Caenorhabditis elegans: one gene and its partners. The protein of the gene in region 1 interacts with the protein of each later gene in a pairwise test. Each region holds a gene or a part of one and is shown in the gene's direction. Other genes may lie near its edges.

Region 1 (7,029 bases):
TATTCTTTTCTTCAAAATTGATAATATGTATCATTATCATGTGTTAAAATTTTCATTTCTCGCAATCTTTACTTATCATCTTTTTAGAAACCCAACTTTGGAATATTGACGCCTGTATTGAAAAATTGGTGAAGGATTGAAAAATTTCAGTTAAAAAAAGTTATTTTTTTATGAGATCCTTTTTGCAATAGTCATAAATAACACACATTGCAAGTTAAAATAACTTTTGAGGTTAAAAATGTTTTTTTTTAGCACAAGACGGAAGCACTGATTTTTTAAATATTCCAATTTCCTGTAAGATTTTGAAATGTTAAATGATGTCTTTATGAAAGATTGCTCATAAGGAGAACACTGTTATCAGTAAACCCCCGACATGGAGCACCCGTTGCAACACTTTTCTCCATTTCTTAAACAAACTATTCTTCTTTTATTGCTTTTTCTCGACGTAATTTCACTTTTTTCCGGTTGTAAAATAATAATATATTATAAGTTTTTACAACTTAAAAAATAAATTGAGCAAAAACTTTTTCAGAATAGTATGAAAGATAGTTAATTCATTAATATAATTTTTAAGTTGTAGTCTTTATGACATTGTGTACATAACAAGTAAATGCAATTTGTCTGTGAAAGTGTTTAAATGTACAAACAATAGGCAACTCATACCCACTAAATGAGTCATTAACGTGTCCTTCAAAAAATCAAAGTTCATAGTATTGGAAAACAGGATAAAAAGTCATATTAATGATGATGCTTTTCTTCAGCGGAAATAAAAAAAAACCTTTTCAAAAGTGTATCATGAAAATTAGCAATTGATCCATTGCATGAAACAATAAAAAAAACATAATTTATAGTAGTGAACTCCAATAAAATTATAATAAATAACAATCAAAGTTTTGCTTAAATAATTTGAATGCCAGAAACTTAGCCTGAAAGAAAATTAACTTTTTTTTATCATTCACAGTTTGCAATTTTATCCTGCAATTTGAAAGTTAACACAATTTTTAAAAATTATTTTTAAGGTTGTACTCTTGGTTATTCTAATTTGCCATGATTAACACTTTCCTATTGACCAAACTTTTGTCTAAAATGAATAATCCTGATAACGATTCTGTCTAACGGAAACCAAATGATGGCTTGTTTGATTTTCCACTAGAAACCTTTTGAAAAACAGCAAATCTGGGTCGTTATGCTGATATGATATAAATGAATAAGAAAATAAAGAAGAATAAAAATGAAGGACTTGATAAATAAGAGTCGACTAATTATCCCAACTGATAATTTACGACTAAGCTATCCCATTTCTATTTTCTCTCCCAGCCTTCCCAGTTCTCCTCCCAAATACATCCTTATCAAAGTTGTTTCCCCCGTCTTTCCCGTTTGTTCATTTCAAACCCACAACTGATGACTGTGTGCCTTCTCGTTTCACCACAGATAATCATTATTATTGAAACATACCTCTAAATTTTATTAGCCAATTTCACACCTTTGGCTGCTCACTCACTGATAGGTGATTGAAAGCACGAAAGAAAATGGGTTGAATAATGCGAGCGGGACGGGCAAGGGGATGGGAATGATTGGGGGTGAAATAGAAGCCATCTGATATCAATAGCCCTTTACTCTAGGTTAGGTACAAACCGCTCATTTCTATTATTGCTTTTTCTTCATTACACAAGCCTTAGACTCTCTATCTCACTATTTCACCGCCCCATCACCACACACTCTTTCTTGTGCCCAGCAGGAAGATTTGTAATGTTTTCAAACATTTTGTTCATTCAGTTTTTTCACTGCTTTTTCCTATTTTTTCTCTTCATCCGGCAGACAAATCGTTTTTCTTGTTCGAATTGATTCATAAAAAAATATTTGGCTTTTTTTTTCAGAAAACTGGGATGGACCTGGATCCGAACCTAGTTATTAACCATGACGACACAAATTTATCAGAGGCATCTTTTACAATGTAAGTTTTTTTGATTGAACGAGCCTGCAAATTTGAGGAAAAGAAACAATTTATTTTGATGTTGGGAGTTATCAAAAAAAAAATTTTAAAACTGTTTTAAAATATTTTTTACAGGGAGCAACACACCTCGAGCTATTCGGATATACACATGGGCTCAACGCCCTGCACCGGCCACCGCAAGGTGGATATGTGGCGGAATCACAACTTTGATAGCGGTTTCCAAACAATGAATCACAGTGAGGTACGAGAAAACAGAGGAGAGATAGACACACACACACAACAAAGATTAATGTGTTTCAATTTCAGGCTCCATCTATTATATCATCTCTACATCCGTCATCGCATCTTTCCGGAATGTCATCCATGGCCGACTATGAGCCGATCCCCACTCTTTCAGATCAAGTAAGACCATTTCATATCAAAATGCGCTGGTGGACAAAATTGTTATTTTTCTTCCAGCAAAAACAAAAGTTTGATGGGATCACGCAAAATCAAGCGGATGGGCAGTATAACACAGTTCGAGCAATTCCAGAACTCACTATGCTTATGAAAGATCAGGATAATGTAAGATTTTTTTGTTCAAAACTTTTTTGAAATATTCATACTCATAATTTCACAATATATGAATTAAAAAAATCCTCGGTTTTGACCTATTTTTTATATTTTAATTATATTCAAACATCTTGTATTCCAACATGCAACAATGCTCGAAATGTTACAAATTTTTGGAAAACTTAGCAACTTATCAGAACTGTGACTGAAATTTTTGAAAAAAAAACTTTAAAAAATTAGAAACGTATGTCTACTATTACTATTATTACTATTACTATTACTATTACTACTATTACTGGACTACTATTATTTCATTTAGGTATAATATGATGTTAATTGATTTTTAACTTTCAATTACTCAAAATAAATTATCAAATCTACAGTAAGAAAAATATTTAGTCGAATTTATTCACTTAAATTTTCAAATCACAAAATCTGAAATTAAACTATGAACTTTTGATTTCAGTACTGATATTAACACAAAGATAAATTGGTTCTAATGCTGCTTACTGATGAAGCCGGTGTTTGAACTTTTGATTGTTTGTAACATTTAAAATCGATTATCAAAATTGAAGTATCTGGAAAAAATTTAAAAAAATTGATTGTTCTGCTGAAAAAAACATTATTCAAACAAAAATCTTACAGGAGGTTGTGCACAAAGCTGTAATTCTGATGCAAAATATTGCGAAGATGGAGTGTGACCCAATGCGACGGCAAAATGAAGCTCGAATTGTGGACCCCCGTGTTATATTTACACTGCGTGATCTTCTCCGTGACAAAGTTGAATTCCCGGTATAGCTTGTGCACTTGCACAGTTTAATACATCATATATTTTCAGAACATCATTCGTTGCACTTTGGGAACATTCTTCCACATTTGCAACCGACAGGAAGGAATTGATCTTGTCACTCGAGCGATCGCAGAACAACCTGATATAATTCCAAATCTTATTAGGCATATTGGGTAAGAAAGTTAAATTTCAGAAAAAAATCATTCAAATAGCTGTTACAGTACTTATCCAAGTTCAATATACAAATATGCCATTCTTACTATGCATTCGATTCTGTCCGATAAGCAGAGAGGCGGACAAAGTGTGATCATTGCGCGTCAACAAGATGCGATTACTGTAAGATTAAAGAAGAAAAAAAATTGAAAAAAAAAAATTTACAAAAAATTGCAGCATGTGACTCCGTGGTTAGAAGCGGAGAAATCAGAAAAACTTCTTCCAGTGATAGTTGACTTGATCAGAGTTTTGTGTGAAAAGAACACCGAACAGAAAATCAAGTTTGTGAAAATGGGAGGACCTCAAAAACTGCTCATGCTACTACAACACAGAGTTTATGAAAATTTGCTTTGGCGAACTACGCAACTTTTGAAAACATTTTCGAACTTTGTAAGAAATATTTGAAACTGAAGGATGTAATGTCTGAACTTTTCCAGGACGCTCCAAATCTTGTTGCTTTTGGTGGTCGCCAAATTCTCGCCAATCTTCTTTCACATGGTAGTCCGCGACTTGTACAATCAACCCTTGAAACTTTGCGAAATATAAGTGACGTACCAAGCAAAATAAAAGAAGATTTACTTTTGAAATCTCTTCTGGAGCTGGTCAATTCTCGAAATACAACAATCCGTCTATATTCTGCTCAGATAATGTCAAATCTAGTTGCAAACAACAGGCATAACAAGGTGCTTTTGTCAGAAATCAAGATATAGTATTAATTTTAATTCCAGGAGTTTATGTGTGGCAACAATGGGGTTGTCATTCTTGTGAGAGCTTTAACAATTGCCACCAAAGAGATGGGTGACTTGAGAGATAAAGAAGCACAGCAAATGGAGGATTATATTGTAATAACATTTAAATTTCAAAGCTTAACAATACGGTTTTCAGGAAAGCCTAATTTGCACGCTACGGCATCTCTGTGTTGGACATCCAATGTCAGATAAGGTCCAAGCATTTGTTTTCCGAGATCCTGCATTATTTCTACACAAATTGTTAACAATGAGACCAGTATTGCTGAAACACACATTGAGTGTAAGTCATTAATTTGAAGGGCTAATAAGAAATTGAGATTTAATTTAGCTCCTGCTGAAAGTTGTATCCCAACATGCCCTTCTTGCTCCATTCCGATCATGCCGAATTGGAGATAAAGGTTTTGTTGAGCAACTCATTCATATTTTGAGAGTGGCATGTACCCAGCTGAATGTGGTAAGTAAAAAGTCAACAAACCGACTAATAATTGTTGGATTTCAAGCAAGAATCTATCGAAGGTGTCCGCGTGAAAGATATCATTCATCTTTGTATTCAAATCCTGCGATGGATTACAAGAGACCAGGACATTCTCAACGAGGTATTAATGTTTTCAGGTTGAAAACCCAAATTTCAATTTATAGGTTGTTTTCTTCCTGCAAACTCCTGAAAATAGCCGAATGGGCGATGGTCATACTCTTCCAATTTTTGTATTACAAAAAGCCAACGTTGAAGAGAACACGAAATCATCGGCTCTGGCCTTGATTTATAATTTGATGCATCATGAGCAAATGGCAAACGTACTTGACAGAGATGACGTTCTTGTTAAAATGCTTCAAAATGTTCAAATGCAATCTCAAACTCACCCTGAATTAGGTAACGTTGCACACCAATAGACAAGTAGAACTGAAAATTTACAGCAAGTCTAGCAAATAATATTCTCAAGATGATGTATGAGAAGCGAGAAAAGACAAGGAATACTCTTCCAAGATACAATTCATATTTAGAGGTAACACAAAATGGGGGATAACTCTAAGAAAAAGTCAGTATTACAGAGCCAATTTGGTCACATGAGCATGACCACCCCACGAAGCGAAGCACTAAATAGTAGCGGTGAAGTGTGTGAGGGAGCTGGAGAGCAATGGTCTACACCTTTAACAGATGATACTATGATGGATTCGTATTGCAACAGCTCCGGACGAGATTCATCAAGTAAGATATAAGATGACAATTTAATTTGCTCTAGGAAGCTAATCAAATTTAACAAATAACTTTCGGCCATTTTGACATTTGCCGGATGTCAAAATTTTGAAGATGTCTTTAGAAAAGCAGTTTAAAATATAAGCTCAACAAAGATATATGTTCGATAATTTTCAAAGCTTCGGCAACACGATTGTTCGTTGCCGAAAACTTCCCGAAGTTTTTATATATTGCCAACTTTGATAAACGCAGGATTCCAAAGATTCTATCTACATACATAGTTTTGCTTACCATTGTGAGAGCGAAAAAAAAACTTAGGAAAATTGTTATAGATGTAATTTTTCAACTTTTTTAAAATAACAATCAAAATTTGACAATTATTCATTTTACATAGTTACCCATTTTTTGGAAGTAAAAATTGTTTAAATGTGAAATGAAGGTTTTTAATTAACGTATTTGCTCTATAAGTGGGGGTGCCAAAACTTTTTGAAAGAATACATATATTTCGTAATATTTTATTTCGGCTGTATGATTGTTTTGTTTTTTTCTTAAGATTATTTTACTAAACTTTTCACTGACGCTACTCCACCTTCGAATTGGATTGAGACAATATACTATTAAAGAAACTATGAACCTAGAACCAAAAACAAATATTTCTTCAGAACCATACAACTCACCAATGTACCATTCCCCACCAGCAATGTATCCAGAATACTCAATTGGACCTCCCGAGACGTACTTGGATCCCCATGCCACAGCATCTTGTTATCCGCGACCAACGCCTCCTCAATATAACAGCTATGACCGTAGTCCACCAGTTTACAACGACCTTCCATCAAACCCTGGTCCGAGTAGTCATTCGTCTGATTATTATCCTTCTAGGAATAGTCGATTTTAATTTTTTAATTATAACATAGACCCCCACACTTTCCACCACCCCAGTCGGATATTTGTTGCACATTCCTTGAAAATGAGATTCTAATTATTTGTATACGGGTTCATGAATTGGCATGCAAAATATGTTGAATAAAGTGAATTTTTATTGAATTTCAATTTCAGAAAGTGTGTCAGATAAGAAAATTTTTATAAAAATAACAACTATTATTTACAAATTATGAATTCCAGATTCAGAGTGTAGTTTTTGCATGCCAAAACAAATTCATTTACGTCATTTGATTCATTTCGTAGTAGATACCCTTCAAGTTGATAAGCTGCTCATGGCTACCTTCCTCGGCAATTTCTCCATGAACAATAACGTATATTTTGTCGACGTTTCGAATTGTTGATAAACGATGAGCGACTGGAAAAAAAACATTTTTCCCGTTAGAGATTTGCCAATTCTCGTGACGTACTGGCTGAGAGTTTAAACCGCATTAAATATTACTTTTCAGTTTCAATATACTAATTCTTACTTTGAATACACGTGCATTGAGTCTTCGTACTCCTCTTGACTCGTTCAAAAGCGTTTTGAACTTCTCTCTCGCTGGCGCTATCCAATGCCGATGTTGCCTCATCTAACAGTAGAACAGTTGGTTTTCTGATAATTGCACGGGCAATTGCAATTCTTTGTTTTTGA
Region 2 (6,142 bases), on another chromosome or scaffold:
TTTCAGCAACAAGACTTTCAATTGCTTTATCAATTTTATCTGAAGATTCCATAAGTTTCGTCTCTTCACGCGCAACTTTCTTTTCGATTTTTGCCTCAATTTTTGGTTTGACTTCTTCTGATTTTCTCTTTTTCGCTGGTGACGGTTTGCTATGAATATCCTCTGCGTTGTGCTCATCTGGCATATCTAATAGTTCGATAATAAGTGTATTCCATTCAATTGTATCCTCATCATCTTTTCTGTATTGAAGATAATCGATCATTTTCTTCTGAAGTGCATCCAATTTCGGAAGAACCCATGTGCAATTCCCGCATTTGCTTAGATCGGTTGTAGACTTTACATGAGTAGTGTAATCTATAATACGGATATTTATTGGGAATCTTGTAAAGAAAAATAAAATAACTTACGATTAACTATCACTAGAAATTCCTCGATTCTCATTTGATCCACAGATTCATCGGCCATAATCATTTTTTTGTTGAAAAATCAGAACTGTTCAAAAAATTGGATAACTATCGAATGTAGAAAGATTCAAATGACTACATCTATGAGTGTCATGCAATGGTGCTCAAAACCGATCGATTTGTTGCTCTAAACCTTTAGGAAGGTCCGTTCTTCCACCATAGAGTCTCTCAATACACCTGTCTATAATTAGTCTCTCCCTTTCAATGTCTCTTATCTAATCCGTCGACTACCATGTGCACGAAAACATTCTCGAGAGCAGAGATTTTAAGGGAAAAGATAATTATAATGGAATCCAGGAAATGAGTGTAGTTCGATATCAGTTGTTGATAACATTCCGGAAGAGTTCAATGGTGGCCTATAAGGTCATCAGTGCTCTTGCCCGCCTTCGACACTTTTCCCAATAATAGAAATTCCAAAATTATACTAAACTACGGAGTTCACCCCAAATGCACAAAAGACACTTTACTTTCAATTCGAAACTTCTATTGTTTTCAGAAAGTATATCATTCGATCCCAAACTCTCTGGACACCAAAAAAGGTTTTCTAGTCAGAGTAGACATTTTTATATGCAAAGAATTGAGTAATATACTGTCATAATATCAAATTCGTCAATTTCAGTTATATCATGTGTGTACTGTTGAAGAGTACATCCATCCCCATCTGTTCCCACATCTGTCAGTTCATTTGTGTCGGCTGAATGTAAAAGTAAGTGAGTCAATCCATCGAAGGTCAACTTCTCGCGCGAAACGACACACTCCTTGATTATGGAAATTTCAAAACTGCTATATGCCCACATTCGCTATGCATTCCATGGTTTTATATTTTAACAATTTAAAAATTGATACATCAATATTTATCGAATTTTACTACATGTTTTCTTTCAGAAATCGGTGCTCTTAGTTTTAGAAAAATTGAAAATAGTGACAATAAGTGTTTCGGACAGTTTAACGTCACGAAAGACATTCTTTCCAGTAAGAATTCCGAAGGAAGTAGCCCCCACTTTTACTGATATGCCAACTTCTCGCGATAGACGCATTCGAGATAAAAAGCGAGTTTTCAATAATTAATAAAGTGAAGAAATTTCAAATCAAAACAAGAAACCCACGGCTTTTATAACTTCAGTTTTAAGACTACTTTAGAATAAACAAGGTGATAACCATCAATTCCCGAATTGAAAAAGTTAGAAAATCCTTCCAAATATTGAACTCTACTAGAAAGCTTGCATTTTGGCAGAATTTTTTTTATATAGACTTTTCAGCTATATACTCTAAATCGTGCTATAACATTTTAAACCCTTATTTTACGAGACTTGAACACAAATTTCTCCATTTCCTGTCTCCACACTCATTCTCTCCCTCTATCGTCAATTTATTTGCCAAGACGGTAGGGCTCTCGATCGGTTTGACACAATATCTCATCTCTTTCCGTCTAACATTTCGACGTTTTTTTCGCGCATTTGCTCAATCTCCACCCATACTTCAAATATTTAATCATTTTTAACCCAAGTTTTTCTTGTTGATAAATGATCTTACATGGGTAAAATACAAAACTTTCAGTATGAAACGAAGAAATAATGACGATGCGATCGAAATTCTCCATTGATCGAGTTCTTCATGATACCGCATTTGCCAAATGGTGTCAAAAGGTAGAGTAATCGTTGTATCGTTTGGAAAAATCGTATTGTATACAGTAATTACGTTCTGAAAATTAATTTTTTTAATTTATGAATCTATGTAAATATAATTAAATTTCCTGCCAAATAATTAAATCATGTTCTAGGAAGAATCGCGGAACGCCGATTCGATAACCCTGTACACGTCAATTTTGGATTTTGAATCCAAACTGAAAACTGGTTCTCCATCTCTATCTCTTTTAAAATTGGCTAGGCATATTCATCGAAAATACGTCAGTTTGAATACTGGAACATGCCACGTCATCGGTGATTCAATACGCACTAAGATCTCCACACGGGTACATGAGGTAATGATCAATATACTTGTTAATGTTTGTCTAGTCAGTTGAAATATCGTCGGTTGGAATATTTGTAAAAAATACTTATATGATAGTCAAGCATGCCCAAATATTTAATTTAATAACTCCATTTTTGATATTTCGAAAATTTCAGTCAAATTTTCAAAAATTGTACTTTTGATAACTTCTGAACATTCCTGCACGTCCGAATCAGATGTGGGCAACATTTTTGGAGTCCAGAAGTTATGAAAAATCAATAAATTGTTTCCCTGCGAATATTCTAGGTCAAAATCAACAAATCCAGCAAAATCGAAATTTTTGAACAAAAATGTGGTCAACTTTTCGTTTTCTCCTGATTTTGAGCCTTGATGCTAATTTTGTTTCCTAAACTGTACATTTTTTTCTCCGTTTTTTTTGCATTTACAAGCTTTCAATATTATTAAAAAATTACAAAAATTACTTTAAAAACTTCGCAAAAGTTTTCGATCGGAGTTTTGAATAAAATTGTTTTTTGATTTCTTGTCCTAAGAAACCTGATTCAAATCTCTACAATGTTCAAATACTAATAACTAAAACATAACCTAAAAAAATCAAAGAAGGTTTTGATATGATAATCATTCATTCTAGCACCACGGGAGTAGTTTTTTGAAAACTACCCCACTTGCCATACTTTACCTTTACTTTGGAATATTTACTCAAATTTAGGCAGCCGTTTTTCCGTAGAACCGCAGGATTTTTTCATCTCTCCGAACATTTCTCGGGCGTGTTCTCTGTTCTTTCAAGTGATAAAAAAGAAGAGAAACAGTTTGGCAGTTCTTTTCTTCGGATACCTGTCAAGTACCATGTGCATACACACAAAAGACACAGTGAGGACACTTAACACAAATTCTTAGTGTAGATCAACACAGGTTGACACGTCATTAGGCTTGAAAGTGTTGGTCAACACAAAGAGAAGAAGTGCTTCATTTCTTCAAATAGATATTTATTAGTTTTTGATTTTGTTACCTCCATGGCTACAATGTCGAGACGGTGGAATTATTTCACACCCCATTATAATGATGAAGGTTCAATTGATGTGAGTAATTGATTATTGTTTCAATTTTTATACTTTTTCTAGTAATTTCATATTTATTAAAATACTGCTTTATGAAAAATCGCTCGTTAAAAGATTTTACAGTTCCGACTATTTTCGAGCATTGCCGTAGGGTCACCTTCCTAAAATTTTCCTAAAAGTTTCAGATCCGGCATTTTAAAAATATTTAAATTTTCAAAAAAATGGACGTAGATATATCAGTCGACATATTACAGTACCTTTTCTAACGGTAGATCTGAATTACCTGTTACTCATATCTTACCTTTTTTGTTGAAAATTTGTAAAATTGTCATATTTATTTTATTCGAAAAATCTTATATCCATATCATAAAATTTCAAGAAAAGTAAAACTGGATATCATCATGAATAATGTCTTTTCATCAATACAACTTTTTTATTGGAAGTTGATGAGAACATTTTTATCCAAATGTCATTGTGAAACCATAACATTTTTCAGGTTCTCGATGGTAAACCCCCGTACATAGACTTATTTGATCCTCTCAAACAACCACTTTTCCAACATTTACGGTCAATGCACACTGAATTTTCAACGACAACAGCCGATGTTAATACTACTGTAACTTGTGGTTGACTCTAAAATTTATCGAATTTATTTTCAGTGGGAAGATGCGTCATCAACAAGTTCTTCAAATAAAGGTGCTACAATATGGTTAGTAAAAATAAATTAAGATATGCGAACCGGATAGTAGAGCCGTTTTGTAGACACCCCACTAAATAAAATAATTGAAAGAAGATTCTCAAGTCACACAAATTTTCAGGTTCAATGAAGACGCAATCGATAAATCATCCCGCCACGAAATAGGTCAAAGTACAGTAACCCATGAGTCGGAAGATGATCGATTTTCGTTTTTCAATGCTGTCTGTACACGCCTTAATTCCTTACAGTACGTGCTTTTTGATATTTCGAATATTTAGAAATCGTTTTAGAGAAACAAAAAACTCATCAGAAACAGAAGAACACGCAGAATCGCCACGAAAAGAAAAATCTTCAACTCCATATGGGACTGATGGATTTGCACCGCCACCGAGGAGCACACAGACTAATACATTGAAAGTTTCAAATCTTCCGAAACGTTTTGAATCTCTTTACAAGTGAGTCTTGTGACAAAGAACCCATCTGCCGATTTTCGGCAAATGCTCATGTTTAAACAATAATTGCCAAACTGTGTTCAGGTTTTCAACATAAAAAATACGGTGCCTGGTCTCAAAACGACCGAAACTTCGAAGCTACAGTACTCGGAAATAGTTCTCAATTGCCCACAGTTTTTTACATTAAAAATATATTAGAAAAAATTGAGTTCGAGAAAAAATTGTCACACGGTCTAAATACTTTTTCTTCGGATAAATTGAAGTAAATTTCAGAAAGAAACGCCAACAAGTTGCCACATCAGATTCCAGCGGATTCGGAAGCAATGCTAGTGATTTTTGGAGTTTTGAACGTAGGAAGTTCCCAGTTTTCAAGAATTTTATTCGAGAATTAATTTCAGGTTATGGAAAATCCAATCAAGGAACACTTGAAAGACCAAATCGATTATTTACGGGAACAAACAACGGGTTTTCCACATTACAACCGTAAGCTTTCACATCAAGAATGGCGGTTAAATAATATATATTTTCAGAAAGAGAAGAGGTTCAGAGGCTCCAAAAATGACTGTAGAACTACGATACGAGAATGATGTTCCGATGGTGGCAAAGATTTCAGCAAATCATGCACAATCCGTCACTTTAAGATATTTTAGACATTTATTCGGTCTTCACTATACTGATAACTGCCGGTAAAATATTTTTAATATCGCCAAGTTTTCAAAAAAAAAGTTTGTTCAGCTTTTTCTTTAAATCAACATGCGAAGATGGTTCCGCTCAATATCAATGGACTCTGCTCTTCCATGATGATGACATTCTTCCCGTGTTTCAAAATAGAATTACAGCAATTTGTAGAATGTGTCCTCCTCCAGAAGATCATGATTTAATTTAACTTTAATTATTCGTATGTAAAGATATTGTCGTCAGTTTTTGTCTTTTAATTGTACGGTTATTCATTTCATTTTACAGCAAAATGTGATAAACAGTATTGACGATAATTGATAAGATAATTGTGAGATACTAATACAAAATATTAAGGGCTCTGGGACATCCGCTGTGTAGTTCTTGTGGGAGACTTGGGTCGACTGTAGAATAACTAACATCTACATGAGTTATTCGTTCCATAACTGATAATGTTTCAAATACAGAATCCCAATGAAGATCTGATCCACGAGCAGAAAATGAGCACAAATGCGAAAGCCAATCAGACTGAAATTGAAAAGGTTAACATTTTATAAAAATCTTCATGAATGCACCTCAAACTCCACTTTTGTTTTCGTTTCATTTATGGTAAGTTCCTCTAAATTCTTCAATTCTCCCAATATCAGAATCCAGATCTGATCGGAAATCCACGAGGAGTTGAAGCTCAAATCCAACTTCTTGAGATGAGACATGCCTGTAAATTGAGCTTTTTGGTATTTTGGATAAAGTTAATGGAATACAAACCTATAAAAACTGATGGGATAATAGTATCAATCGAAGTATTATTCGCAAGCAACCGTATTCCAG
Region 3 (4,650 bases), on another chromosome or scaffold:
TTAGAAAAAAGAAAAAAAGATGAAAACACGCTGTGTCTCTATCTCTCCGCCAATTCTCACGGTTTTCCCGGTGAGTTACAACGAAGAAAATGAACACTTCGATAAAAAATATATATTGACGCCCCGGGTTACCGATTACCGATGCCCACAAAAATCACTTCTTATCAATTTTTAAATGGTTTTTTTCAGGACAATCTGATTTTTATTTTTTCTCACTCAACCTCCACTCTCTTCAAGTTCCATGCTCTCTTTTAACCTCTTCTACAGCTATTATTGTCGGCCACCTGCGCACACACACAGGGCCTTCTCACACACCATTTAGCATGGGCGGCCCCTTGATGAGCGATGAAAGCGAGAGACGCAGAGAAATTGGTGTAGCGGGGGGCCATGGTGCACTACCGACAGCGCGCGCATACACCACCACCAACCGCCTCTTGTCTTCTTCCCCCCTTCTTCTCACGTCCCCCGGTCCGTCATTTATTTGAATTTTATGGATCCTTTTCGCCTCGTTTTCCTCGTTCCACTATCCTCCCTCCTACCTCCTGCTGGGTTCTACGTTTATTTGCATTTTATAATTGGAGGAACTTCTTCATTCGAACATTTTTCGCTTTTTTTTCCCGTCATTCTTTTTGAATTTTGTAGAGCGAGTAGCGGCCTAGTTTTCGGCTAGGCCATCTGTTGCCAATGACAGATGTGTTTTGTTCACCGTATCGATTCCTGCTCTTTAATTTAAAATTCCCGCGTTTCGGATTTATAAGCAAAAAAGTAATTTTCTACGTCAAAAATAGGTAATTTTAAGGTATTTAAAGTCTGATCGTGGTGTCACCCATGCCAAAAAACATGGCATGCGCCTTTAAAGACTACGGTATATTTACAAAAATGTCGAAAAATGCGAATTTTAAACAAATTTAAAGATTTTTGATGATTTTCTCCTTTTTGTTCGGAATTCCCTTGTTTAAAATTTATGATTTTATTTTTAAAAACTCAAATTACAAATTAATAAGCCGAAAAATATTGTTATTCGCGGTGGTACCCACATTGAAATACATGGCACGCGCCTTTAAAGGTTACGGTAGACAAAAATACTTGAAAATTTAATTTTGAACAAATTTCGAAGTTTTCGATCAATTTCTAGATATTTCACATCGAAATTTCCTCGTTTCAAATTATTTTTTCAACGAAACAGCTCAAATTCGACATTTTTAAGCAAAGAAAAGTAATTTTGTTCGAAATTCGTGTCGAGACCCACACCAAAATAAGCGGCATGCGCCTTTAAAAGTTACGGTGGACAAAAGTATTTTTTAAATTAAAATTAAAACAAATTTCACCGTTTTTGCTGATTTTTCTTGAGTTTTTCATCTAAAATTTCGATTTTGTCGTCAAAATTTATCTCTAATTCAATAAAAATTCAACATTTTCCAATTTTAGAAGTCTAAACCTCCACTTTCTCCCCAAAATCCTATCGAATTCAAATTTCCCGCGTCTTTCCCCTCTCCATGGCCTAACTTCCGCGGACCTAGTCCCCCTTTTTTCTTGTTTTAAATGGTTCCGTGCTTCTTTTCCCTCCATTTTTCCGTCAATTTCCCATTAAAATCGTTAAAAAATGCTCTAAATTTCCAGATATAAAAATACACAAAAATGATGGCCGACGAAGAGCTCGGCGATGAGGTGAAGGTGTTCCGTCGGGATGAGGATGCTGACGATGATCCAATGATTAGTGGTGAAACGTCAGAACAACAGTTAGCCGATGATAAAAAAGAAGCTGTAATGGAAGCAGAATTAGACGGTGCCGGTCGAAATCCATCGATTGATGGTGAGTTTTCCAATAAATTTGATCGAAAGGGGAAGGTGGCCAGCTATCACACAAAATTTTATGGACCACCTCAATTGCCTTTCGACTTTATTACACAAAAAAAATATTTGAAAATTCTTCTAAATTTCTAAATTTCTGCAGGAAAAAGGGACATTAAATATTAAAAAAATACATATAAATTTAAATTTAAATAATTTAAATAAAAACTTTAAATGCTAAGACTGATCCCAAAAAAAGAGAAAAAAATCATTAAATTTGAAAAAAAAACCTTATTTAAATTCCCGCATTTTTTGTCTAAACTCCGCCCATAGAACCGTGCCGCACTTTGTTTTTTTTTCAAATTCAGCGTAAATCCATATTTTGGGGGTTTTTTTTCAGTTTTTAAATGGAGAAAAAGGTTTTAAAAATCGCCGAAAAATTCATTAAAAGCTAGAAAAACAACCCAAAAATTGGACTTTACGTTGAAATTAAAAAGTGCAAAAGTGCGGCACGGTTTTATGGGCGGAGTTCAAAATCGAGACAAAAGCGCGGGAATTTAAATTAATTAAAAATCGCTAAAATATTTTTTTTTGACAAATTTGAGTATTTTCAGTGTTATTTTGAATTTCAACCAATTTTAAAGCGATTTTTCGCCATTTTTTATATTTTAAAGTATTTCTAACACTTTATAAATGAAATTTACTCATTTTTAACCAATTTTTTTTCCGGTTTTCACTATTTTCTATTAAAAAAATCCATGCTAATTTCAAAACACCCCTAAGAATTGACCTGATGGTCCCGGGCCTTACGCAATGACATAATGACGTAAAAGGATGTTACGCAACGGTGTTCGAACACCATCTGCGTCTCTCCGAATCCCATACTATCTCGGTCCGTTATCTTGTGTGCTAATCCGTCGTGAGTACTTGAACAAGTTGGTCCGTCTGTGTGTGCTCAATAGACTGTATAGGGGTGCGAAAGGATTAAGAATTGGATAATATTCAAAATTGATCTGAGAAATTTGAACTTGGCGCCAAAAATTGACCTTTTTTGAGATCTGTGAATGGAAAAATCTAAAAAATTATGTATTTCAGGCCTTTAGAGGTGCTAGAAATTCCTTTTAAAATTTTACGAAAAATCGCTTTAAAATCGAATTTTCAATTGAAAAATCTAAAAAATGAGAGGTTTTGAACTCGGATATCACTATAAAAGTTGAATTTTAAAATATTTTTAACTGAAAATTGTGAAAATTTGCGAAAAATCGCTTTCAAAAATCGAAATTTTGAAGGAAAAATGAGATAATTAACCCTATAAAATTGAGTTTTGAAGAATTTTAACTAAAAATTGTGAAAATTACCGAAAAATCTCTTTAAAATCGGAGTTTTCATGAAAAAATCTGGAAAAATGAAATCTTTAACCCTATAAAATTGGATTTTAAAGAATTTTGACTAAAAATTGTGAAATTTGCCAAAAAATCGGTTGAAAATCAAAAATTTGGCTCTTTTTTAACCATTCTAACCGAATAATTATCAAATTTTCAGTGTTAAAAAGTGCATTTCCAAAAGTCGAACCAATGTCACCATCGTTTCCCGGTTTAATGTCACACTTCAGTCCTGGATACTCGGCAGCTGCTTTACCCATGTTTATGCCTCTATTTATGGTGATTTTTTACTTGGAAAATTGAAAAAATTTGAATTAAAACACATAAAAATTGGCGAAAATCGACAAAAATCGACTTAAAATTGTATTTTAGAGTTAACAAGTTAAATACTTCTGAACGAAAAATTACCGAAATTGGCAAAAAATCGGCTTTAATTGGAAGTTTTCACTGAAAAATCTGAAAACAAAGGTGAATATTAGGCCTCGAATATGTTATAAATACCTTATAAAGTTGAAATTTCAAGATTTCCCCCAAAAATCGACGAAAAATCGCTTTAAAATCCTTTTTATGACAATTCCCCCTATTTTATTAGAAAAATTATGTAGTCTAGGCATTAGAAATACTTTTAAAAGTTGCAATTTCAATATTTTGCCCAGAAATTGCCTAAGAAATGGGAAAAATTATGTATTTTGAATTTTTAAAGGGTTCGAGAGCCTCTATATTTTTGGAATTTAAGAATTTACACCAAAAATTATTTAAAAAAAGCGAAAAAACACCCTAAAATCGAAAGCTTTATTGAAAAATATGGAAAATTGTGTATTTTTGAGCTTATTCTTCAATTTGAATCAAAAATCGTCGAAATTTGCAAAAAATTGCTTTAAAATCCTATTAAAAATCATTTTTCCAACAATTTCTTCCCCAAAAAAGCAGAAATTCCAAAAAAAAAAAATTCAAATTTTTACCCAATTTCAAGAATTTTTAGGGCTTTTCTCCATTTTTGTAGAAAAAAAACCGTATTAATTTTTTATTCTTCCTACAATTTTCTTCCCCAAAAAGCAGAAATAATACAAAATTTCCACTAAAAAACTGAATTTATTGTCTTCCAAATCCAAAAATTCTTGGCTTTCCGCCATGGGGTTCTGGCCTTCCTCATTGAATTTTTCGCGCTCCATTGACAATCGCCCGCCGGACTGGGATAGTCGTGTACTCCACACGGACAAGTGCATTTAGTTTTACAACTAAAATCGAGCCGCGACGCGACACGCAACGCGCCGTAAATCTACTGAGCCAAAATGACCTAGTTCGGCAAAAACTCTTCCATTTCATTTTATGAGGGAAGCCAAAAATTCGTGAGAAATTCTACAAAATTTTCACCGAAAAACTGAATCTATTATCTTCTGAATCCAAAAACTCGTTGCATTTCCTCGAAAACAGTTTTTTCTTCTTTTTTGTTGGAGAAGCCTCATTAACTCCCAAA
Region 4 (7,978 bases), on another chromosome or scaffold:
AATCGACAAGACGCAGGCACGTGTCGGCGAACATCAAAGAGTCGCTGGTTTTGAAGAAGGGGGCGCCTCCATTCTCACACCGACCGCCCGAGAAGAAGAGAGAGGAGGCACTTCACCCCCCAATTCTCTTTTCCTTCTCCTTTTCTCTTTACCCCCCTTGATTTTCCTACCCCCATCTTTTTCCTAAATCCTTCTGTTTTACCCATTTTCCTTTTTAGACCATCTTTGGGACTATAATATTTGCTTTGAAAACTGGAAAATTATATGAAAAATCCAGTTTTTAAATTTATTTTAGGCTCAGTTTAGGCCAAACTATTTTAGGTCTTTTTTAGGCGTAAAAATTTGAAAATTTTTAGACTCGGTTTAGGTCAAACCATTTCATGGCCAAATTTCGGCTTGAAATCTAAAAAAAATTACGGTAAAATCTTATTTTTTGAAATGTTTGAAAACTCAAAATATTCCAAGAAAAAAAAAACTAGTTTTACAACATTTTTCTGGGTTTTCTTAAAATCCTTGTTGGGCTAAGAAATTTTAAACTAAGAAATTTTGCTGAAATCTTAAAAAAATTGTGTTGTTTGAGGTTTACTGGCCAAATTTTAGACTTTTTTTTTAATGGCGATAATTTCAAAAAAATCAAGTTTTTACAGCGTCACATTTTTTAAACATTTTTTAAGCTTAAACTATGAGATAGCAAAAAATTGTCTACTAACAAAATAATTACCGTAAAATTTCCTACATTTTATTAATAGCCAACTTTTCGATTGCTTCAGGCTCCACAGAGTTATAACGGTTTGAACTCAAGAGGCGCTAGGCTCCTTTTAACTTCAAACCTCTATAACTCTACAAATAAAAAAGCTAGCAAAAAATTGTTAACTATCAAAATAATTATCATAAACTTTCCTACATTTTATTTATTGGAAACTTTTTGATACCGTCATTTTCTGCAGAATTACAGGATTTTGAACTTGACCTCTACGCCTCCCTTGGCCCCCAGTTTTAACTTAAACCCCTATAACTCTGCACACAATGGTGCTAGCAAAACATTTGAACTGACAAAATAATTGCTATAAAACGTCCTACAATATGCTAGTTAACAACTTTTTGATGGCATCAGTCTCCGCAGAGTTACAGCTATTTGAACTTGACCTCTAAGCCTCCCTTGGCCCCCAGTTCCAACCTAAAAGCTCCATAACTCCGCAGAGAGCAGAGCTAGCAAAAAGTTGTCAACTAACAAAATAATCTACGTACAATTTTCTACATATATTCAATTTAAATTTTTCTGCTAGACCAACTTACCAGCAAGATCAACGCCCCTAAAGTTAGGGGCCCCTCCCGGTAGCCGGTCGAGCGTCCCCAGTAAACTCTTCCGGGGGCACCCGAAACAATGTTCACTCATCAATCGTTGTCATCTTTCTGGAGACATGTGTCTTATCTGTGTGTGTGTACTACTACTCTTCCCAATACACCCCATTACTCTCCGTCACTATCTCTGCGTCTCTCACCCCCGCCACTCTCTCGCTCTCGCCCATTCATTGAGTAAGCGAGGGGCCTCATTCCTTGATTATCAGCCACTGATAGGAACAATAAGACACCCATAGTTGTTCCATTTTTGCAATTAGAGAGGGAATAGTGACGCTTATAATATATTGTATATCCTATATCTTATCACAGTTTTTTTTTTTTTTTTTTGTGTATAGTTTTGGCCTATTTTATAGGTTTTGAGGGGGTCAAACTGCTAAGTTTAAATAAAATTTGTTTAATTTTCAGTAAAAGCGTCATTAGAAAAGTTTTGAACAAAAAATTGAAAAAAAAAATTTTGGCAAAAAAATTATTTTTTTAAAATTTTTTCAAAAAAAAATTTCCCTCGATTTTTCAAGTTTTTCTCTACTTTTTTTTTTGAATATTCTCTTATTTCAACATAATCATAAAATTCACCTCCTTTTCAGGTGCATGGAGACCCATCTCGGTTGGGCGCGAAGCCTGGAGGCCGTTCTATCCGATCGATCGGCACTCGACGCGTTTCAGGAATGGCTTATTGAGTACTCCTCGCCTCAGGTAACTTTTTTTTTGGGATTTTTCTGCGAAATTTGGATTTAGCTTGCCGAGAGCTTCAAAATAAGTATAATCATGACATTTTTACGATGATTTTGAAAATTTTTAGGTTTTGGCGCAAAATTTTTAGATTTTCTTTTGCTGCGGGACCCAAAGTTCCAATATTTGAAATTTTTACTTGTTTTCGGATGTAGCTTGTCAAGAGCTTCAAGATGAGTATAATTATGCCTAGGTTACTTCAAACTTGAAAGAATCTGGGTCTCACCGCGAAGGTTATTACTGTAGTCCCAAATTTTCGTGGCGAGACCCTAATTTTTCAACCTTTGCGGAACCTGGACATCATTATACTTATCTAAAAGCTGACAGCGAGCTGACTTCGAATTTTATAGTTTTGCAGGCGAAATCATAATTTTGTGAGAATTTTGACCAGTTACAAGGAAAGTCTGCGATTTCACGTTTTTTCGAAAATTTTTTGCGAAAATTTCAACTTTTTTTAATTTTCGAGATAAATTTCTCATAATTTAATCAATCTTTTCATGCGCTTTTGGAAAAGCATAATCATGACCACGTTTCGCAAAACGTTGGGTCCCACCACGCAACCCATGGGGTTCTGTAGTTGTTTGTCGTTGTGGGACCCCATAAAAATTAAATTTATTGAAATTCATACACAGCATCCTGAGAGCTTTGAAATAAGTATAATAGTCTAGGTTCCGTCAAAAAAAAGTTGGGTCTCACCACGAAATCTACTACTGTGGCCCCACATTTTCGTGGCGAGACCCAATTTTTTCAAACTTGACGGAACTCATGCATGATTATACTTATTTCAAAGCTCTCAGCAAGCTAAATTCAAATATTGACTTTAAATTTCCGAATTCTCTAAAAAAATAAGAAATTTTCAGTACCTCGACTTGTTCTTCGCAATCCGAGCATACGAACGAATGGCGTTGGAGGGAAAACCGGAGGTATTGATTTTTTTGCAACTTTTTTGGCAAATCGGGCAATATTTATCTATTTTTTTTAGAAATCCCAACTTTCCAAGTCAATATACTCGAAATTTTTGTCCTCTCGGACCGGAAACTGCGAAGCAATTCCCAAGCATTTTAGGGCTCCGGTAAGCTTTTCTTAAAATTTTTTAAAATCAAAAATTAATTTTTGGATTGGTGAAAAACTACGTCATGGCACCGAATTAGAGGATCGGGTATTCAGTCATTGTTCGAATTTTGTTCAAGAATTTTTAAGACGCCAACACGAGGAGTTTGTGGGCTCCGAAGAGTTTATTGAGGCTTTTAATAAGGTAAATTGTTTTTTTTTTTAATTGTGAAAATTTGAATTTAGCTCACTGAGAGCTTTAAAATAAGTATAATCATGCCTAAGTTCCGTCAAATTTGATAGAAGTTGGGTCTCACCACGAAAACCTACAGTAACCCAGGATTTTCTTGGCGAGACCGAGGTTGTTTGGAAAATTTACAGAATTTGCGAAACCTATGCATTCTTAATGTAATATCGGCGGTCTCAGTTCAGATTTTCAGAATTTTGGCGAAAATTTTAGGGTTTTCCAACAATTGGGTCCTACGACGAAATTTTTCCGGTGCCTAACTTTTTGAATTTTGATTCTTTGCAATTTTTATTTACAAAATTAAACTCAATTGACTGAAAGCTTCAAAATAAGTATAATCATGCTTAGGTTCCGTTAAGTTTGAGAAAAGTTGGGTCTCGCCACGAAATGTATTACTGTAGCCCCAAATTTTCGTGGCGGGACCCAACTTTTGTCAAATTCAACCAAACCTAGGCATGATTATACTTATTTGAAAGCTCTTTCTAAGCTAAATTGAATTTTTATAGTCACAGTGTGAAAAATTTGAAAACCGAGAAGTTGGGTCCCACCACGAAAGGGTTACTGTAGGTTTTCGTGGCGAGACCCAATTCTAATAGAACCCAGACATGATTATACTTATTCGAAAGCTATTTTTAAGCTGAATTTGAATTTTAGCATTTTACGTATCTTATCGCAATTCTGAAAAAAATTTCCAATCCCAAAAACTAAAAACCCCAATTCCAGATGTCATCTACCACCGCCGACCAGCTCCCGGGAGGCTCCGCCCACCATTCATCACACCAAAACACCATGAGAAGGTCGTCAGGCACTACCTCCCGTAAAAGTGCCGCACAAATCGCCACCCAGCTCACAGCTGAGGCCCTCCTAAAATCGAAACACGACAGGCACAGCAAACTTGGAGAAACGTAAGTCGCCTACCTACCCTACCTATTTAAATTTGAATTTTTTTTAGAAAACTTGAGAAAATGTACCCACCGACACGTCAACCATACGTATGCAACGCCACTACCTCACACAACGACTCGGCTGTCAGCTCGACGTTTTCTGGGGACACGCCCGAAGCCCATAGGATGCATAGTAATAGGTAGGTGATTTTGGTTAATGTATTTGAATTAAGCTTGTTGAGAGCTTTTAAATAAGTATAATTATGCCTAGGTTCCGATAAAATTGGGTCCCGGCACGAAAATCTACACTAACCTTTTCGTCGTGAGACCCTACTTGGCAGTTTTCAGATTTTTTACTTTTAAATTGTGATAGCTGAGCTCAACTTACCAAGAGTTTCAAAACAAGCATAAACATGCCCAGGTTCCGTTAAAATTGGGTCCCGCCACGAAAACCCCGAGTTACTGTTGGTAGGTTTTCGTGGCGAGACCCAAATTTTTTCAAACTTAACTGAACCTAGGCATTATTATACTTGTTAGAAAGCTCGTTACAAGCTGAACTTTAATTTCAAATTTTTAGGGTTCAATAAATTATTTCTGAAAAAAATCGCGACGAGACCCAAATTAAGCTTATTTTTTTGAAAATTGTATTTTTTTGAAAACCTTAAATTTTAGTGTTGAGAGCTATTACTACAAAAAAACCAAAAGTTTTCGCGGTAAGACCCTAAAATTTTGAAAATTTTCAGGCCATGGCATGATTATACTTATTTTGAAGCTCTCAGTGAGCTTATATCAAATTTTTATCTAAAAGTGTCTAATTTCCAGACTCCGCCATATCCGAGACGAACAAGCCCGCGAGAATCACGGTACCATGACACTGCCACGTGTCGAAAAAGCCAGCGTCGATGGTCAGCAATGGGATCATTCTTCTGAATCAGGAAGAAGAAATTTTGCAATGGAAATCACCAGAAAACTGCTTAGGCATATTGATAAGGTTAAGCTAAATGATGAGATGGAGAAGAGGATTGACGATATCGAAGAGTGTCGGTATACGGTAGGTTTTTCAGTTTCGAGTTTTAGGCTTTGAATTTGTAAAATTTGAAATCAGCACGCCGAGAGCTTCAAAATATGTATAATCATGACTAGGTTTCGCCAAGTTTGAAAAATTTTGGGTCCCACCACGAAAATGTGGGGTTACAGTAATACCTTTCGTGGTGGGACCCACATTTTTTAAAACTTGACGGAACCTAGGCATGATTATACTTATTTTGAAGCTCTCAACAAGCTGAGTTTGAATTTGTAATTTTTAAAGTGAAATTCAAAGAATTTTAGGGTCCCACCACGAAATCGTACTTCGCGGCAGGACCCAACTTTCTTCAATTTTGCAATTTTGCTTGGAAACTTATAAATTGGAGCTAACTTTGCTCATAGCTTCAAAATAAGTATAAACATGTCTAGGATCCGTTTTATTTAAATATTCCTGGTTTAAGCGTACAGTAACCCTAGATTTTCGTGGCGAGACCCACTATTTTTCAAATTCAACTAAACTTGAGCATGATTATACTTATTTTGAAGCTCTTTACAAGCTGAGCATGTTTTTTTAGTTATCTAGTCACCACTGCAAAATTTGGATTTTTTGGGTCCCACCACGACTACAGTAACCCTGGATTTTCGTGGCGAGACCCATTATTTTTTGAATTCAACTGAAATAGGGCATGTTTATACTTATTTTAAAGCTCTTATCAAGCTGACTTCAATTTTCAAATTAATTTTTCAGACAATCGACATGGTAAACGGCACGGAGCCCAACGACGATCTGGGGAAAATCGATGAGGACGAGGAGTTGGATGATTATCTGAAAATGAAAATGACAGATGATTCCCAAAAAGGATCAACAAATCGATCACCTAAAGGCCCAGCAGGAGAGCCCAACAAATCTGGAGAAGGATCGAAAAATAGTGAGTTCCCATGCTCCGGTACCATATGTCGGGTTATTCTCATGAAGGGATTAATATTACTAATAGGTGTTAGAATTGGAATAGCTGTTAGTAAACATCTTAATGACAAAAATATTTGTCAGGGAACGTTTTTTTTTAGTTCGAATCTATGAAAATTAAAAATAAAAAAATTTTTGAAATTTTTTTTGAGCAAAAACTTTTTTCTCCAAAATTAATAAATTTAATTATTGAAATTATTAAAATCACGTCTGCCTCATTGAGAGCTTCAAAATAAGTACCAACATGCCTAGGTTTTCTTGATTTTGGGTTCCGCCACGAAAATGGGTGTTGTAGCTTTTCGTGGTGAGAACCAACAACTACAAAATGACATTTTTGCTTTAAAACTACAAAATGCAAGCTCAGCTCACCTAGAGCTTCAAAATAGGTATAATCATGGCTAGGTTCGGTGAAATTTGAAAATTGTTGGGTCTCGTCACGAAATGTATTACTGTAGCCCCAAATTTTCGTGCCGAGACCCAAAAATCTTCTAATTTGACGAAACCTAGGCATGTTTATACTCGTTTTAAAGCTCTTGACGAGCTGAAAAAAAAAATTACTAAAACTGTAAAAGTTTTAAATTTTAAATATCTTTCGTGGTAAGACCCAAATTTCTGAAATTTCAAAAAAAAATCCAGTATTTTTATATTTCCAGTCAATTTTCAAACTCAGCTCGTTCAGAGCTTCAAAATAAGTATAATCATGCCTAGGTTTGGTGAAATTTGGAAATTTTTGGGTCTCACCACGAAAGTTATTACTGTAGCCCCAAATTTTCGTGGCGGGACCCAACTTTTTTCAAACTAGACGGAACCTAAGCATGTTTATACGTATTTTGAAGCTCTTCATGAGCTGAATTCAAATTTCCAATTTATAATATTTTCCAGCCACCCTCTCCCCAACCAATCGTGCTCCCGCTCAGCTCCACAACACAATTCGGGTCCCGAGACGAAAAGATTACCCCCGGGACACCTCGGCTTCTCTAAAATCTCATCGTCACCATCAAATCGACACAAATCGAATGATGAGCCAATCAATGTGCGCTCCATCGTACTCCTCAGCCAGCTCCTCCTACAGTAGGGACTCCTTCGCGCCGGCGCCCACTACCAGGGTGAATTTTGCTCCGGGGAGCAGCAAATCGAGTCAATTCTATGATTCTTCGGGAATTGGGTCTATGGCACCGTCGGCGTTCTCCGCCACTTCGTCACTGGATTATAAGGATCGGAGGCAGCACAGAAAGGCTCCAACGCCTAAGAAGCACTCGAAAATTGGGAAAAATTTGTCGAATTTGATAACTATTAGCTATTTAGGTAAGGTTTCATTTTTTTATACAAAAAAAAGTGAAAAAAAAAATTTTACAAATTTTTTTTTGAAAATTTTTTTGAACTTTTTTTTCAGATTTTCTATGTTTCTAGGGTAGATTTTACCCTAAATTTTATATTTTCTAACATTTTAACTCAAATTTTTTTCCAGGAACCGATAAAATCCCTGTGGTAACACATGTCCCTAACGATGGACCAATGACGTTGGCGGAGTTCAAGAGGCACTTTGCTCTGCCAAATGGAGCACATCAGTGAGTTTTTTTTTGGGTTTAAACTGGGAAAATATTGATTTTAGGTTGATTTGGAAGTTTTTGGAAAATTTTGAAAAAAAAAATTTTTGCTCAAAAATATTTTTTTTTGGAAAAACAAATTTCCAAAAATTTTCAAAAATTTTTT

Evidence for each region.
Region 2: the proteins of bar-1 (region 1) and axl-1 interact in a two-hybrid assay, tested with the Caenorhabditis elegans proteins (one study listed by BioGRID).
Region 3: the proteins of bar-1 (region 1) and pop-1 interact in binary tests that used the Caenorhabditis elegans proteins (3 or more experiments, as listed by UniProt).
Region 4: the proteins of bar-1 (region 1) and pry-1 interact in binary tests that used the Caenorhabditis elegans proteins (3 or more experiments, as listed by UniProt).

The regions. Positions count from the first base shown.
Region 1 is NC_003284.9:7,165,474-7,172,502, reverse strand, and holds bar-1 (Beta-catenin/armadillo-related protein 1), read left to right. Parts: upstream 1-1,877; 5' UTR 1,878-1,886; coding exon 1,887-1,954; intron 1,955-2,068; coding exon 2,069-2,195; intron 2,196-2,260; coding exon 2,261-2,356; intron 2,357-2,413; coding exon 2,414-2,518; intron 2,519-3,151; coding exon 3,152-3,298; intron 3,299-3,344; coding exon 3,345-3,469; intron 3,470-3,517; coding exon 3,518-3,632; intron 3,633-3,686; coding exon 3,687-3,899; intron 3,900-3,946; coding exon 3,947-4,192; intron 4,193-4,237; coding exon 4,238-4,351; intron 4,352-4,394; coding exon 4,395-4,538; intron 4,539-4,586; coding exon 4,587-4,712; intron 4,713-4,758; coding exon 4,759-4,854; intron 4,855-4,897; coding exon 4,898-5,129; intron 5,130-5,173; coding exon 5,174-5,262; intron 5,263-5,308; coding exon 5,309-5,465; intron 5,466-6,115; coding exon 6,116-6,351; 3' UTR 6,352-6,498; downstream 6,499-7,029. Other genes in the region: pgp-10 (P-GlycoProtein related), read right to left, coding at 6,617-6,753, 6,866-7,029.
Region 2 is NC_003279.8:8,511,881-8,518,022, forward strand, and holds axl-1 (Axin-like protein 1), read left to right. Parts: upstream 1-2,019; 5' UTR 2,020-2,038; coding exon 2,039-2,110; intron 2,111-2,244; coding exon 2,245-2,445; intron 2,446-3,340; exon of another isoform or gene 3,341-3,445; coding exon of another isoform or gene 3,446-3,511; intron 3,512-3,986; coding exon 3,987-4,106; intron 4,107-4,149; coding exon 4,150-4,199; intron 4,200-4,308; coding exon 4,309-4,434; intron 4,435-4,477; coding exon 4,478-4,642; intron 4,643-4,912; coding exon 4,913-4,989; intron 4,990-5,037; coding exon 5,038-5,122; intron 5,123-5,169; coding exon 5,170-5,325; intron 5,326-5,374; coding exon 5,375-5,525; 3' UTR 5,526-5,633; downstream 5,634-6,142. Other genes in the region: K02B12.2 (Myb_DNA-bind_3 domain-containing protein), read right to left, coding at 1-354, 408-471; tnsl-1 (Tonsoku-like protein), read right to left, coding at 5,654-5,842, 5,890-6,029, 6,080-6,142. UniProt on the Caenorhabditis elegans protein: Works in parallel with pry-1 in negatively regulating bar-1 signaling in vulval precursor cells and Q neuroblasts. Shown to have a role in excretory cell development.
Region 3 is NC_003279.8:2,827,282-2,831,931, reverse strand, and holds the start of pop-1 (Protein pop-1), read left to right. Parts: upstream 1-1,620; 5' UTR 1,621-1,638; coding exon 1,639-1,813; intron 1,814-3,333; coding exon 3,334-3,452; intron 3,453-4,650. UniProt on the Caenorhabditis elegans protein: Transcription factor. Part of the Wnt signaling asymmetry pathway. Binds to the consensus sequence, 5'-(C/T)TTTG(A/T)(A/T)(G/C)-3'.
Region 4 is NC_003279.8:14,173,329-14,181,306, reverse strand, and holds the start of pry-1 (Axin-like protein pry-1), read left to right. Parts: upstream 1-1,946; 5' UTR 1,947-1,950; coding exon 1,951-2,055; intron 2,056-2,951; coding exon 2,952-3,014; intron 3,015-3,073; coding exon 3,074-3,163; intron 3,164-3,208; coding exon 3,209-3,346; intron 3,347-3,796; exon of another isoform or gene 3,797-3,869; intron 3,870-4,111; coding exon 4,112-4,293; intron 4,294-4,340; coding exon 4,341-4,472; intron 4,473-5,094; coding exon 5,095-5,323; intron 5,324-6,046; coding exon 6,047-6,227; intron 6,228-7,147; coding exon 7,148-7,570; intron 7,571-7,733; coding exon 7,734-7,833; intron 7,834-7,978. UniProt on the Caenorhabditis elegans protein: Works in parallel with axl-1 in negatively regulating bar-1 signaling in vulval precursor cells and Q neuroblasts. Inhibits Wnt signaling, which affects tissue specific expression of Hox genes, egl-5, lin-39 and mab-5.